2 linked regions of the Xenopus tropicalis genome follow. The protein of the gene in region 2 interacts with the protein of the main gene of each other region in a pairwise test. Links are inferred from orthologs where the notes say so. Each region holds a gene or a part of one and is shown on either strand. Other genes may lie near its edges.

The links.
Region 1: the proteins of nfyc (region 2) and dr1 interact in binary tests that used the Homo sapiens proteins (3 or more experiments, as listed by UniProt). The link is inferred for Xenopus tropicalis from reciprocal best matches to the Homo sapiens genes NFYC and DR1.

Annotation. Positions count from the first base shown.
Region 1 is NC_030680.2:104,112,446-104,117,543, reverse strand, and holds the start of dr1 (protein Dr1), read left to right. Parts: upstream 1-1,751; 5' UTR 1,752-1,974; coding exon 1,975-2,194; intron 2,195-5,098. UniProt on the Homo sapiens protein: The association of the DR1/DRAP1 heterodimer with TBP results in a functional repression of both activated and basal transcription of class II genes.
Region 2 is NC_030678.2:87,830,382-87,835,368, reverse strand, and holds the start of nfyc (nuclear transcription factor Y subunit gamma), read right to left. Parts: upstream 3,245-4,987; 5' UTR 3,122-3,244; intron 1-3,121. UniProt on the Homo sapiens protein: Component of the sequence-specific heterotrimeric transcription factor (NF-Y) which specifically recognizes a 5'-CCAAT-3' box motif found in the promoters of its target genes.

The DNA.
Region 1 (5,098 bases), on a different chromosome or scaffold from region 2:
ACAGTAAAACTGTTGGTACAAAATAGAAAATAAATGTATAAGGATTTCCAGAAAAATTAAACTTTAGATGATTTTTGTACTGCATTCCTAAATGTTCTATGTTTTATACAGGTTACAGAATTAACCTATTAATTTGTTACCATATAAGATAAAGTAATATACTTTGTGAGCTCCTCTTTAACAGGCAGAAATGTGCAGTGTAAGGCCCTAGCCCATTTCTGCTTACAAAAACCAAAACATTTTTCCACAGGATATATAAAATATTTGCCCTATGAAGGATTAATATGCATAAAAAGATGTGACTAAAAAAAGAAAAATACAATTTGTTGGACAGTATGGACTCAGTATGCACACTCCAAAACTTGGGCTAATGGGTATTATAAGCTGGGTACTATTGGTTTTCAGGGAGCTGCTTCTGAAAAATATTGTGAAATGCAGACATAGTATTACTGTCTTCTGCATGGTTTCTAAGCTAGAATTTTGGAAATGTTCAATGCTCTTCCTCCAATTCATTAATGTTAAATAAAATGAAGACCCAATATTGTGAATGAAGGTAAACCATTTTTTTTTGCAAGTAAAGCAATTAGTTTACCTTCTTTATTGTTGCCTTATAGTTTTGAAATGCTTTCTCCTTTTCAGCCAAGAAAGCATCTTTAGGACCTTTACTAACCTTACAGTACCTAGAGTTCACTTTCCTAATGTTTATTTATATTTGATTTTTTTATATTCAGTTATTATTATTAACATTTATTTATAAAGCGCCAACATATCCCGCAGCGCTGTACAATAAGTGGGTTACATACATTGGACATACAGAGTAACATATAAAGCAATCAATAACCGATATAAGAGGTGAAGAGGGCCCTGCCCAAAAGAGCTTATTCAATGTTTTTTCTATTTGATTAACTATATTAAAACATGAATTCAGCTGAACAGAGAATTGTGTCTGTCCCTTTCCCTGCTGCTGCTTCTGTCTCTTGAATCAATGTAGTAGAAGTCAGACTTACAGGTCTGTTAATTAGCAGGCTTCTGCCACATTTTTTCAAAAGACAAAAGCAACAGTGCAAAGAACAGAAAAGGACAGACAAATGCTGCTTTCAATACCAGTTATCTTTACAATATAGATTGTAAGCTCTACGGGGCAGGGACCTCGTTCATCTTGTTTCTGACTCTTATTGCAACTATTTATTGTTGTACTTTGTATTTATCCATTATCTTTAACCCCCTGTTTGTATTAATGTATTCTACTGTACAGCGCTGCGTACATAAGTAGCGCTTTATAAATAAAGATATACATACATACATAAATACAAATAAGTTAAACTAATAACTAGTAAACAAATAATGTTTAACTAATCTATATTGCAAAAATGCTTAGATTTCCATTCATTAACTAAACTGCAATTTGTCAGTAAAATAAGGCATACAGACGCGGTTTTATTAACCTGAGATTTGAGCAGAATAACAGTGACGCCGCTGCACCGCTTCCTTGTGCGACGCCAGACGCCGACAGCGCATCCATGGTAACGGGCGTCTCGGCGCTACCGGAAGTGGAAATCAGGGCGCCGTGCTCCCTCACATACGCCGCTTCCGGCGGGAGAAGGTGGCTCTTTGCCCTAACCGGTTTTCTGCCGGGATGTCCCGCTGACCCGGCATTTGCTTTGTATAATTGGTTGTGTTTTATACTTCGGTGACCCGTTCTTCCGTGCATTGCGAGTGGGTGCTTGTTGTGTTGGCTGAGGGAGGAGCCGTGAGGATGGTGTAAAAGAGACCGGTGAGCCACAGCGGGCGCTTGTCTTTTCGTGCGCCTTCCCGCCAGACCTCCGTGTCTCTTGGATTTATTTTGTTTTTATTGTTCGTGCGTGATTTAATTCACAAAAATATCCTCTTCAAACTAAAACATTTCTCCAAGGCCTGGATCTTGCCATCCGGTCTCCGTTTCCGGCCGCTTCTAGGAAATAGGGCTGCGGAGCAATGGCCTCTTCATCAGGGAACGATGATGACCTCACTATTCCCAGGGCTGCCATCAATAAAATGATTAAAGAAACTCTGCCCAATGTTAGAGTAGCCAATGATGCTCGGGAACTGGTGGTAAACTGCTGCACGGAGTTCATTCACCTAATCTCTTCCGAGGCGAATGAGATCTGTAACAAGTCAGAGAAGAAAACCATATCGCCCGAGCATGTCATCCAGGGTAAGTGTAAGCAGCGGGGAAGCGCCCCACTCTCTGGCTGCTGGGCTAGTGTACAAGCAGCTGGGGCTACTGATGCGCTGTGGGGACTGCATGTTAGCCTATACATATAATACACCAGAGCCTGTAAATACTGTTCTTATGAATAGTGTTTGATGATGTTATCAGTTATAAACAGTGCTTAGTGATGTCATATCTGTCACATGACTCCCTAGAACTTGTTTATAATAATAAAGCATCTTCTGTGACACTATATGAAGATATTAGAAGTCACTAGCCAGACAGCAGTTATCCAGCGCTCGCCATATGTTTCAGGTTTCTCAGCTGGTGCATGCAATCCAAATGTCTGCACACTTCAACAATCCAGTACTGATACAATACTACGGCACTCCAGGTTATATGGAAAACCGCCATTGTTAGTACTTATGGCATGGTCATGTCTTCCTGGAACTGGAGTGCTGCGCTATTCTATCAGTATTGGACATTAGAAGTCATCTTGGAGTTCCATGACCTGTATAAAAGCTCTCACGCTCATGGAACTTCTCAGTGATTTATAATATCCTTCTTTTTTTCCCATATAATATACTAGTCTGTACTACTGCCGGCTGCAACCTCTGATTATATATTTGTAAGGACAGAACTGTGGTTTCTCTTTTGCTTAGCCCCAGCAAACATTATACATTGGCAAATAACATTTTGAATATGGACAGATCTGCGCCTGAGAGGATTATGGGATGATCTGCCAAAACAAACCCTCAATTTGAGGTACAACTTATATGGCTCAGAGGCTATGGTGGAAATCAACCAAAACAATGTTAATTATCCCAGAAATGATGTAAAACTTGGCTGGCTCTCTACTTCCCTTTCAAAACTGTAGCCCTTGGTGGTCCTTGCATGTGAGCTGCAGCCATGACTTTGGAGCTGAGTAGACACCTGAGGTGTTGGAGACACTATGGAATATGCTTGCATATCAAGTCATATATTGTATAACTCATTACATCTTATTTAAACTAAAAGAGGCAGTCAAGTTGCATCATAGCTTTTTGCTAGTTGAACTAACCTGATGTGTTTTGAGAATAGAACAATCACTCATACACTAACCACTAATGTGCATTTTTAACACACTCCATGGGTTGGTAGTATGGTTGTACTCTGTGAACCGTACTGCTTAGCATTCATTTAGTGGTCCGGTAAAGATTAGTTTATCTTTGTATTAGGAGAAAGTAAAATTCAACTCTGGCAAATCCATTTATGTTGCCTATTTCTTCATCAGCATATAAATGTAGGCAGACAAAACAGCCAATCCCCTTATCCACTCCTTTCTGACAGCCACAGCATTGGGCTGTGTGCAAACGCACAGAACAGATTTTGTTGTGACAATGCATACTTTCACAGTTCCTCTTTGAAATCCACTCTGTGCCTCTGCAAACAGGACAATGCTGCACTTGTCAATCTAGACACTGGAGGAAGGAGCATATGGTAGCGGGTTAGCTGTTTATTTATTTTTTTTTATTTATCTGCTATCCTTTTCTGCCTCTCTTCAGCTTTCAGGGGGGGGGGGGGGGCTCCAGTTGTATTTTTAAGCTGGCCATACACGCACCAATATTATTAAGCGAAACCTTGTTTCTTATGATATTCAATACATGTATGGCGGCTCGAAGAGGCGACCGATATTGCAGAAGACGGATATCAGTCGACTCGTCGTTCGGCCAGGTTAAAAGATTTTGATTGGGTTCCATTGAAGGCACCCAATGTTCAGGGCTGAATCGGCAAGTGGAGGTAGAATTTCTATTGTTTCTACCTCCATATCTGACTATTCAGCCCTGAACATCAGTGGAGGATTATTGCTATGTGTATGGCCACCTTTATTGCTACCTTTTATGTTTTCTTTCTCCATGAGGCTCCCGTTGTATTTTTATTGCTACCTTTTATGTTCTCTTTCTGTTCAGGCCATTTCCTAATCATCTAGTCTCTCATTCAAACTACCACCTGGTTGCTAGGGTAAACCCTTCTTGAAGTTCACTGATTTAGAGCCTGCTGTAGCATGCACAGTTGAAGCTAGGTTACTTTACTAGGTTAGTTTGTACTTTCTCTTCTTTTTACTTTTCATGAATAGTGTAATTTGAAAGATCCCCAAGAACCTATTGGTTGGCTTGCAACATTGTTCTGCACTGACCATCCCCTCACCATCCAATTCCAGGTTTTGCATTCATCTATGCCATTGTTAACCATTTGAGCATTATGCATCTCTTAAAACAGGTGGTGTTTTATAACACTACAGAGGCAGATATTTACTAGAAAGTTGCTGTATTTACTAATATACCACCACATGTTTATTTAACACTTTAATTAGGGACCTAATACCAAATATTGCACAAAGGGTTTAATGCATGCAATCTAAAGGCAAAGACACGCGGGGCTACATAGTAGCAGCCTGTCATCAACAGTACTGAGAATTTACTTTGCTAAAACGCACAAATACAAATATCGGTAGATGATCAGCATTGTCTATTTTTGTAGTTGTGACAAGTAGCTGCTACTAGTAGCTCTGTGTGTCACCATAAAGGTATGCTGACACTGTTTTCAAATCTCTGAAATGCCATCCCCAGGACATGATATTCTGGAGATGGCACAGTAATTGATAGTGTGCATATTCCACAGGGCTTTACAGAGATTAAGCTTTATTCACATCAGTCGTTGCCCCAGTAGAGCTTACAGTTTAGGGTACCTATCACATTAACACACTATAATCAGTTTTAGCATGAGGTCATTAAAGGAGCAGTAACACCAAAAAATGAAAGAGCTTTAAAGTAATAAAAATATAATGCACTGTTGCCCTGCACTGGTAAAACTGGTGTGTTTGCTACAGTAACACTACTATAATTTATATAATAAGCTGCTGTGTAG
Region 2 (4,987 bases):
ATGACAGTTAGCCAAGGAAGTAATACAGCTCACTGCATGAACCAGAAGTTAACACATCCCTCCCCTGTTGAGACCTTTGCTATTAAAAAATGTAACTATTAATTCATTATGCATTATTGAACTTCTTTAAAGTAGGCTAGTGAGGACATCCACAGTACTGTGGGACATCTAACGAAAAAATGTTTAGCATGCAGAACCATAATTTTACACAATGAAAGAGACAATTGTTTCTAGATTGTGTTTTACTGTTGTCTGATATTTGCATAGCATGCTCTGTTTATGTTATATTTAAAGATTATCATAAATTCAACACCAACACGAAAGGGGTAATTTATGTCTGCAAATGATGGGGAAGGAAAACCACCCCCCCTTTTTTTTTTTGCACCAGAATTTCAGCATCATTGCATCTGACACAACTGTATTGCCTCTGATGTTACCACATCCGATTTGCCAAAATTAAAGTGTGCATTACATCAAAAATCAGACACAACTGGTAGAAGCCCATCTGGTGTCATTTCTGTTTTTACAATACAATCAAGTTGGGGCTGTAAGAACCAGTTGCTATGACTGAGTTCCACATTCTAGTCTTAAAGGGGACACTGTCCGTTATAATAACCTTCAGTATGCTATAGACTAATTTAATAAAGGTTTCATTTTGAATAGTTTTCCTTTTTTTCCTATTGTGTTCTTTCAAGTATGCAACTGAAAAAACGGCAACCAAAAACCACTGACTGCAAAGCCTTTTAATGTAATTCTTATTTATTGTTTTCCTTTCCGTCTAGATCATCTCCTGTTCATCATGATTTATACATTGCTGTCTGGCTTCTTGGATACTTAAGCCTAAATTCAAAGCCCGAGAACTGTACAACAAAAATCATGTGAATCATCACAGAATACCATTGTCCACATAAGAGATGCAGTGAATCCTGGATTTGACCTAATCAAACTGCATGGCCAAAACAAATCCTTAAAGGAACAGTAACACCAAAAAATGAAAGTGTTTTAAAGTAATTAAAATATAATGTACAGTTGCCCTGCGCTGGTAAAACTGGTAAGTTTGCAACAGAAACGCTACTATAGTTTATATAAATAAGCTGCTATGTCAACACGGGGGCAGCCATTCAAGCTGGGAAAAAGGAGAAAAGGCACAGGTTACATAGCAGATAACAGATAAGCTTTGTAGAATATAATGGGGTTTTATATGTTATCTGCTAAGTAACCTGTGCCTTTTCTCCTGTAAATGGCTGCCCCCATGGCTACACAGAAGCTTTATTTACATAAACTATAGTAGCCTTTCTAAGTAAAACACACCAGTTGTAATGCTGCCCTGTAGTGGTACATTATATAGTAATTACTTTTATACACTTTCATTTTTTGGTGTTACTGTCCCTTTAACTTAATCCTTGGATAAAACAATTTTTCATAAAAGACTCGAGATTCGGCCAAATAACCACAGTGGATTCAGTGAATCCCTAGTCCACATTAAGAATTATTTTTTTTTGTGAACAACCCTACTCGTGATTGAGGTGGGAAAGTCTGACTACTTAAACTAGGGTGAGCAGTCATTGTAAAATAAATAGGTACTTCAAGGAAGGAAATCGAATGCACTTAAAAGAACTAAAATAAAACATAGCAAGTTTGGTCTAATAAGAGCTTCACCTTTTACTACTTTCATTGTTTTAAATGGTTTTGCCTTTAAAATACATTGGACATACAAATCTCAAACATTCTATAAAATTAAAGTATATAGAATTGTGAGTGGGTTCCTTAAATGAGAATGTCTGGGAAACTGTGCCTTTCCAACAACTGTCGAACTCAGTAGCTTGAGTCATAATGCTGAAGGCTATATTTTTAGTACTGTACATGATAAGGAGCATATTAAGCAGCTGTTGCTTTCACCATGTAAAATGATCAGATAGCAACTAAAAAGATTTGGATAAAGTCCTGTATAACTGTTAAATGCAATAGAATGTGTTATCCCTATAAAAGGGAATAACGCATACAGTGGCATATAAAGCTGGTAAGGTCAGTTACAATTATGTAATTCCAGGTAAAAGGCCTGCCAATTGAGCACTGCCAAACAGATTTCCAATTTTTAGGTTATTGAGATTGAACAGTTACAATTTGGTTGGGAGAAAAAAAAAGACTGTCCAATGACAGTCACAAATAGCTTAGTACAAGTTGATCCAGGGATTGGTCCGATTGCCACTTTGGAGTCAGGAATTAGAGAGGCTTCAGATGGGGTTTTTGGCTTCATCTGAATCAAATAGCATGTGGGTTTCATATAGACATTAAAGGCTAAATTTGGACGTGTCTTTTTTCAACCTAATTTACTATGTTACTATGACTGTAAACTGCTGCTGAAAGATCACCCTGTGGGTAGGCCCTCTGCCTAGTTGCTAGGGTAAACTGGACATAGCAACCAGAATTTCCAAACTGAAGATCTGCCGACCAAAATAGCTTAATCATTTAGAAACCACAGTAAATACAAATGAAGACTAACTGCACGTCTCAGGGATACCACTGCCTATATGTTACGTTACTGAAAGCTAATTCTGAAGGAGAATTAACCTTTAATACGCTTTTGAAAGATAAGGCTGCAGCAAGACTCCGCTACTCCAAAATGTCAAAGGCATAATTAAACAAGCCAATAAAGAGAAAGCCCAAATAATTCTTAGTTTTGTTAGCACCTATTGTCTTTGTTCTTGGGGAGGTACTTGGTGAACAACCTAATTAATAACAAATAAGCGAATTCGGCGCTCTGGAAGCACCGCCCTTATCTGAACAGTACAGGAATGTAGCGAATACAATTCAGCAAGAACAAAGGGCACCACATAACTATTAATATACAGCCCTAGGCATCCGGTAAAAGCAAAGTCGGTGCCATGTACTAGTTCGGTGCTTCAGCTCTCCCGCCTCCTCCTTAGCCTAGTTTCCGGCCATCACCGACCAATCACACCGGCCACATTGCGGCCTCCACCAATGAGCGAGGCCCGAGGCGGGGAGAAAGGAACAGAACCGGTACATGCCACCGAAATCTGTTCCTTGCATAGCATTGTTCTTGGAACCAGGGTTTTCCATCTACTTCCTTAACCCACCCGCCAAGGAATAACTCACTCACCGGCTGCCTCGGTGCAGCGTACCAATGATCGGCTTTTCCTACAGCTTCCTAAACACGCCAAGGTCCACCGGCTGAATAATCGTTTGTAAGGGACAAAAACTTCAAAAGGAGACAGTCGTTAACCTGGTCAGGGCGCTCCGGGAGACGAGGGGGAGGGGTTAGCGGGAACCGAAACAAGATGGCGGACACTGGGTATAGAATTCCCGCCCACTGTATAGTTAACATTGCGCCTGCGCTGAATTTAACGTCAACACCTACGACTGCAAAGATAGCCAATGAGAAATAAGGAGAAGGGATTTTACTGCGCGTTTCTGTAAGACGTTTCCAGAGTAACTGGGACAAGTATTAATCAGTGCTGCTTTGAGATGGCAGCGAAAATGGACTGAGCCGATAGTCTTTTGTTTTATCACGATCATCAGCTGTGTATATAAAAATCTATTTATTTAGTAGATTTTGTGGTGGCTTATTATAATATTACCAATTAGATTGTAAGCTTTACGGGGCAGGGACCTTCTTCCTACTGTGTCTCATACCACATGGCACTTACCCCCTGTGCATTTATACTTATTTATTATATTTATTATAACTCTTGTCCTCCCTGTGTGTAATTGTAAGACTGTACAGCGCTGCATACCCATGCAGCGCTTTATAAATAAAGTTATACATACATACATAGGGGCAGATTTACTAATGCACGAATGGACCGAAAGCGCCCGAACGCATTTTTTCGTAATGATCGGTATTTTTGTGACTTTTTCGTCACCGTCGCAACTTTTTCGTATGTCCTGCGATTTTTTCATCGCCGTTACGACTTTATCGTATATTTTCCGCGACTTTTTCGACGAAAAATGCAGGGCTGTGGAGTCGGAGTCGAGGAGTCGGAGGCAATTTTGGGTACCTGGAGTCGGAGTCGGCAAAAAATGAACCAACTCCGACTCCTACTAAATTTAAATGGGAATAAAAAAAAAAAAATAAAGCAAGTTTAAATGTCCCAATTCACAAACAGTCATAATTAATTACTTCTCTGCTATAAGAATAAAGCCCAATGCACGTAGTGCATAAACGAACGCGTTGAGTGACCATGAAGCTTTTCATTGGCTGTATGCTTCACTAAATGGGACGTAACGCACAGTTAAGGTGCGGCAGCTCCACTGCGTCGTGTTCCTCTGTTACTGGGAACCCAACGCCCACTGGCAACCCAGCCTAACTCTCACTGATAACTAATTAAGTAAAAAAATTGCAGGACTAGAAATACTTGTATACGTGAAGGGAATGGATAGTCAATAGTATAAGACTGAAGCTTTAAAACATTTGAAAAACTGCTGTAATTCAGCTGTAATGTTAGCTTAAACTTTAAACATGACTATGGGATTCTAGGGAAATCATTAGAAGTAGGAGTATAGATAAAATTGTCTATCAGTTTATTATCAGTTCAGTTGTGTTTTAAGTGCCCCTTCCCCCCTGCCCCTTCCTGGATGTATAAAATACATTAGCACAGTGCTGTCCAACTTCTGCGGTGCCGAGGGCCGGAATTTCTCGCGCATACATGGTGGAGGGCCACTAATAGAAGCCAGTTTTGACCACTCCCCTCTTTTAAACCACACCCACTTCAAACCACACCCATTTTATCACAATGGTGGTAGTGCAGCAAAAACCCAAAAGCTTGGTCCTCACTGCAGGGATATGAACCACCATTCATATGTGAAAAAAGTATATTATGTCATATTAAGACACACCCTAAAATCCATATGACTCCTCCTCCCCTGTGGATAGCACAGCAACCCCCAGCATATAATTACACACCTTAGGGACCATTTAATGGCTATTTCCAACTGCTAACAAACTCCCAGAACAAACCCCTGCCAG